Cricetulus griseus: one gene and its partner. The protein of the gene in region 2 interacts with the protein of the main gene of each other region in a biochemical or structural test. Links are inferred from orthologs where the notes say so. Each region holds a gene or a part of one and is shown on either strand. Other genes may lie near its edges.

Region 1 (3,753 bases), on a different chromosome or scaffold from region 2:
CCAGTTGACGACCCACAGAGTGGGGAGCTGCCCTCAGAGCGGTGGAACCCCACGCAGAATGTCAGGTGAGCTGCATGTGTCCTCACACCAAGGGAACTCCAAAACACCCTGCCCCTGTCCCTCCTTTATTGCTCCACCTGTCTGGGGTCCCCAGGGTCTGTAGGGAGCTGAGCTTGCACTCACGGCCCCACAGGACCATCCTCCTGAGTGTGATCTCCCTGCTGAATGAGCCCAACACCTTCTCGCCCGCCAATGTGGACGCCTCAGTGATGTACAGAAAGTGGAAGGAGAGCAAGGGGAAGGACCGCGAGTACACAGACATCATCCGGTGAGTGCCGGTCATGCCGGACAGCGCTGCCGCAGGGCCTCTTTGTAATAGATAACTGTTTGCTGTAAGAGTCATCTGTGTTGCCGGGCGGTGGTAGCGCATGCCTTTAATCCCAGCACTCGGGAGGCAAAGACAGGTGGATCTCTGTGAGTTTGATACCAGGCTGGTGTACAGAGCGAGTGCCAGGACAGCCTCCAAAAGCTACACAGAGAAACCCTGTCTCGAAATCACGGTGCGGGGGGTACACACCACAGAGCACAACACAAACCCCTTCCCATGTCAGCTCTTCTCTGTTCCCCTATAGCACAGCTGCTCCCTGGGGTGGCAACTGTTGTGTTTCCAATCATGCATCCTGAGCTTGGAGAGGGAAAGAACAGGACTGTGTGCCCAGAGCACCAAGTAGACCACCCAAGATGGCCAAGAGCCTTTCTTTGGCTTGTCTTCATGGGTGACTGGGGCACTTATAGGCCACATCCTCAACTGCCTCTGTAAGCATTGCTTGTATTTGTGGTTCCGAAACTTAGAGCCTTTTTGCAAAGGAGGAAGGTCACAGCCTACTGTGACCTGTCCTCAGGAGCCAATATGACAATCTCCATATCCATCATCACTTTTCAGCAGGGGTTCCTGGCTTGTTTGGGGGTCAGGTGGTCTCCCTTATACCCCTAAAGCAGGGTGTGAGATTGCACTTGCAGGATTCTAGGCAAATGTCAAGCCCCACAGCCTCTCAGCCCTGCTAAATGTCCATGCCGGTTCCCACATTCCCAGGCCTGGTCACTTGACTTCTCTCTCTGTTTTCTGAGACAGGCTTTCCTGTAACCCCATATCCTCCTCCTCTCAAGTTCCCTCCTGGTGCCAGGGTGACATAACACCTCACAACCAGCAGTCCCCTGCCTCAGCACTGACGCAGGAGGACAGGTGCTTGTCCACACACGGTGACCCAAACACACAGGCCTGTATTGTTCCCACACTGGCAGTGGCCTGGGCCCATCAGCAGGCATGCTGAGCAAGCCACACATGTCAGCCTGCAGCCATGGACTGCAGGGGCCCCTGGGCCTTGTCCTGCAGAAGCCAGGCCTGACTTCTCAGAATTGACACAGACTGCAGCTTGGTGATCAGTGCTGGAACAGCAAGACCCTGGACCAGGGTCTCTGGCCTCAGAATAAGATGTGCCTAGGCCTCCCCTCTACTGTGTAGCTGCCGTGGTCCTGTGTGGAGGTATTAGTTATTTGGGAATGTCTGAGTGTTGAGCAGCCCTGTTCCTCTGTCCTCTGCTCAGCTGTCCTGCCCATCCCCAGGTGGGAAGAAGGCAAGATGTCCTATGGGGTTTCTTTTCTTAGTTTTTTGAGACAAAGTCTTAATATGTAGCCCTAGCTGTCCTGGAACTAGCCATGTAGACCAAGCTGGCCTCAAACTCGGAGACCCACCTGCCTCTGCCTCCTGAGTGCTAGGGTTAAAGGCAAGTGCCACCACCATGTGGCTTAGTTATGGCCTTTTGTTGTTGTTGGCTGTTTTGTCTGTCATTTGTAAGTAAATGTTTTAAGCTTTGAGTTTGCCATGGCTACACTGAGCCCTTTCCACCACCCACTTCCTGTCAGCCTGACAGTTGGGACATAATGGTGTCTGACAGGCTGCCTTGGACTCTGCTGTGCACAGGGCACCATTGGGTGTGGCACCAGTGAAAGCTTTGGGTCTGGATCCCCTGCCTCCTGGCAGCCTTTGATCCAGTTCCTTGCTGCTTCCTTGCTGTGTCCCTGTCCCAGAGCAGAAGCCCCAGGCTATTTTTACCATTCTGACTCCAGGAGCCACTTGCTATGACCATGAGGAGGCCCTGTACTACTCCTGGAACTCAGCCTAAGAGCCAGTGTCTAGACACAGCGACACGCCAGCTGGAAGCCTGTGGGAAGAGCCTTGAGACAGGTCTAGGCTGTTATGATGCATTGTGGTAGATGCCCCTCCAACAATGTCTCACACTCCCTTCTCCATGGGAAGCTAAGACCGGCGTCTGCCCTACTCTTCACCTTTCCCATCAGGACCTGCACCCTGAGGACAGCCTGGCCCCTCAGGGCACCTGAGGCTCTAGCCCAGGCCTGATTTCTTTAGTTAATTGCTGCCCTTGTGCAGGGAAGCTCTTGCAGATTATTGCTTCAGAGTGAAGCCAAGCCAGACTGGTGTCCCTGTCACTTCCCCCAGGCCCAACCGTAGGCCTCCGGCACTGGCCTTCACAGTGCCTCGGCTAGGCCTGCAATTTGGGAGTTTGTTTGGTGTCGGTGTGGTGTGTGAGTGGGTGCATACATAAGAAACCAAGGGACAAAGTCTGGTGTCCTGCTCTGTCACTGTCTGCCTGGAATTGCAGGCCCAGAGCTGCCATGCAGCCAGTGTGGGTACTAGGAACTGAGCGTGGGTCCTGTGCTTGCACAACACGTGCTCTTACTGCATCCTCTCTGGCCCTGCAGTGGCCCAGGCTGGCCCCAGACTCACAGCAGCTTCCGGCCTCAGCCTCCAAGTGCCAGGCGATAGGCCTGTGTCCTGCACTTGGCTGTGGTTACTTTCCTGCCTGGAAGCTGGTCACTGAGTCACCCATTGTCTCCTAGCCCCTTCCTTCCACCCTCTCACCCTCTATCCATTGTCTTTGGAATCCTGCCTGGGCCACGGCCTCACCTCCCCTGTCTCCCTAGGAAGCAGGTCCTGGGGACCAAGGTGGACGCAGAGCGTGATGGCGTGAAGGTGCCCACCACGCTGGCTGAGTACTGTGTGAAGACCAAGGCGCCGGCGCCCGACGAGGGCTCAGACCTCTTCTACGATGACTACTATGAGGACGGCGAAGTGGAGGAGGCCGACAGCTGCTTTGGGGACGAAGAGGACGACTCTGGCACCGAGGAGTCCTGACCCGCGTCCCTGAAATAAACTTACAAATTTTACCTCAGCAGGACCCGTGTGGGCCTCAGGCGATAGACTACCTCACTGAGGTTCCATGTGGGCTCCCGTCCCGTGACCCTTAGGTCCTCTTACCCCGTGGTGCCTGACAGACACCCCACTCAGCTCACAGATGGTGACAAGCCTGGGAGGCTGGGGACCGCCTGGTGGGGAGGCAGAGACTCCATCCCAGACCTAGCAGGGCCAGCCCCACAGTCACCTCCTCTCTGCTTTGGTGTGTGTGAAATCCAAATAAAATGGCTTTCTGAGAAGCTGGGAGAAGCAGCCAGGACGCCAGTGGCAGTGGGCAGCTCGGCCAGGGCCGTGGGATGGGCAGGAGGAAGCACTGATTGAAAATTGTCTGTTCATCGGGCTCAGTGGTCTGAGGGCCCCGGCCCAGAAGCAGCTCCTGATTGCCTGCAGATCGGGCTCGCCTGCGTCAGGCACTGCACGGCGGCTCCATCAACCTGCATCCATATCAAGCCTGTAGTCAGGAGGCTGGGCCTGGGATT
Region 2 (2,545 bases):
TACAACCCCATCTGTGCTTAGCTCATCCCAACTGTCCTGTTCAGGGCCCCTTTCAAGCACCTTCTCAAAATCAATGGGGTACATCTTAAATCCTGATAACTTGTCTGGGCTGGGCAATGTAGCTTTGAGCTCTTCAAGACGGCTGTCATCTGCACAAAAAGAAAAATCCGGTCCTTTAGATGCAGGGAGTGAGGATAAAAGCTATATAGGGCAAAAGGAATTCAGTTAGATAGAGAATCTAGAGAGAGAGAGAGAGAGAGAGAGAGAGAGAGAGAGAGACAGAGAGAGAGAGAGACAGAGAGAGACAGAGAGAGAGAGAGACAGAGAGAGAGACAGAGAGAGAGAGACAGAGAAAGAGATCCTAGAATGAAGGGTCAAAGGGGAAAGGAAAACAACAGAGAGCAAACCTGAAAAGGGCAGGAGCAGAGGCTATCAAGATCTGGAGAGAGACTAGGAGCAGAAACAAAGACAGTAAGACAAAGTGGAGGTGAGGTAGTGATCAGATAGAAGGGGTTGTCAGTCTTGGGGAGATATTGTATATAGAGACACAGAAGACATGGTGGGAATATGGGGAAGTATACAAACAAGGATAGGAAGGATCTGAGAAGGTGGAGAATATATGAAAAGAGGAATGATGAAGGATGAGATAGGGAGGAGGAAACATGAGAAAAAAGTCAGAGGGAACCTGTGCAGGAGGTAGAAGAAAAGACTAAAGGAAATACACAAAGAACATGAAACAGGTATTTTAGAAGATGGAGAAAAGGTAAAGTCAATACAGGGGAGGTGGTATACAGAACTATAAACACATTACAGATATCCAAAAGGGAAGGCAGGAGGACTAAATTCTGATGGACAACATTAGGGTTAAGACAGACAGAGATGGGAGGGATGCATGGATGGGGAGACATGGGACATCTGGAAGGAAACAAAGTAGGCAAGAATCAGGAGGAGACCCCTGTTGGAGATCATACCTCCTAGATGAACAGATCAAGGAGAGACAGAGGAAAGAATAAAACCAAGGCAAATATACACCAAGCAAGAACAAAGTTTGTTTTCCTGGTTGCTAGAGTGGGAAAGAGGAGGGAGGGAGGGAAGTGCAAAGGAAGGTGAGGTCACAGAGCTACTAGAAGAGGACTAATGGGGAAACTAGAGACAGGGACTTCTGACCAAATAGCCAAACACCCTCACCAACAGAGGCACTGGCGCTCTGCAACTCCTGGTCAGAAACATGGATCTTGACACCAGACTTGGGGGTGAACTCTGGAACTTGTACGGACTGCAGAAGTGAGGCCACAGCAGCTCGGTCTTGAGAGCCAGTCAACCCATAGGTCTGGGCAAAAAGGTTGGCAGCAGCCATCACATAATCCAGATGCAGTGTCTAGGGGAGGGCAGGGCACAATAGGGTTAATACATTTGCCCTTGGATAGGAAGTCACCACCTCCTTCCCACCCACCCATCCTCTACCTGATCCCAGGAAAACCCAACAAGGAGACTTACATTGTTAACATCGAAAGTAAGTGGATGTGGACAACGTTTAGGTCCAGACCAGAATGGGGCCCCTGAGCTGGTAAGCTAAAACAAAGAGAGTTTCAAGAAGCAGATCTTGAAATGAAGGCCTCTCTGACAATCCTGACTGGCTTTGGATGCGCCCCAACTTGCTACCCTTGGCTGGGTCCCTGGAAGGGCTGGAATCAATCATCTAAGATCCACACTGCAAGGTCCTGGCTGAGAAAGCCACCACTAATTCTTACTTTCTTCACAAACCTCTTTAGCAGAGGACTGGATCACCAGGCATGTACATAGTATTAATAAATACCAGTGAAACATCACAACTGTTCCTCCTTGTAGCTAAAGAAAGGAACAGAGAGAAGTGACTTGCCCAAGTTCAGAGAGAGCTGGGATTTGAATACATGTTTACTCCTGTCCTCCCAAGTCCAGAATCTCTACTTCATGGTCCACTACAGCCCTGACAAAAATCAGGTCAGACTTGGCCTACACTGCAGGGAAGGGGAACAGCAAGAGAACCAATCATCTTGCTCCAAGGAATGAGGTCACTCCTTGGACATTCCTTGGACAAAAAAGTTATTCTTCTGACATCTCTTGCCTTGGACACCAGCCATGTCTGAACTAGTAACTAGGAGGAGTCACTTGAAAAGAGTCTGCAGCAAACTGCTCGCAAGACAGTGCATGCTGCCAAATGGGACACGAGTGGACATTACCTGGTCGGGAGGAAAGTTGTGCAGCAGTTGCCGGATGTTGTTACAGTACTGGGTGTGCCAGTGGTGGCAGGCCCAGGTCACGCAGTCACCCCAAGTCTGTGGTCGCTGCAGCACCAGGCTGCGCTGCACAGCCTCCAGCACCTCCAATGGCTGGGTACCCGCCAGCCGCAAGGTCCGTTCCACAAACTTGGGGTCTCTATTAGGGAGTGAATGGCCCAGGGGCAAGATTATACAATGCCCCCCCCCCCAGGAAAGTAGGCTCTAGGGCAATCCCACTTTCTCCACAGAAAACTCGTCTTGATTCTTCCACAGCATGAGACTTGAAC

What was found. The genes of interacting proteins can lie anywhere in the genome.
Region 1: of the proteins of Uba1 (region 2) and Cdc34, one has a biochemical effect on the other in vitro, tested with the Homo sapiens proteins (7 studies listed by BioGRID, with this or other methods). The link is inferred for Cricetulus griseus from reciprocal best matches to the Homo sapiens genes UBA1 and CDC34.

The regions. Positions count from the first base shown.
Region 1 is NC_048598.1:100,496,359-100,500,111, forward strand, and holds the end of Cdc34 (ubiquitin-conjugating enzyme E2 R1), read left to right. Parts: coding exon 1-65; intron 66-154; coding exon 155-328; intron 329-3,003; coding exon 3,004-3,214; 3' UTR 3,215-3,513; downstream 3,514-3,753. UniProt on the Homo sapiens protein: E2 ubiquitin-conjugating enzyme that accepts ubiquitin from an E1 ubiquitin-activating protein, and catalyzes its covalent attachment to other proteins by an E3 ubiquitin-protein ligase complex. In vitro catalyzes 'Lys-48'-linked polyubiquitination.
Region 2 is NC_048604.1:125,487,838-125,490,382, reverse strand, and holds part of Uba1 (ubiquitin-like modifier-activating enzyme 1), read right to left. Parts: intron 2,416-2,545; coding exon 2,220-2,415; intron 1,573-2,219; coding exon 1,498-1,572; intron 1,379-1,497; coding exon 1,189-1,378; intron 150-1,188; coding exon 61-149; intron 1-60. UniProt on the Homo sapiens protein: Catalyzes the first step in ubiquitin conjugation to mark cellular proteins for degradation through the ubiquitin-proteasome system.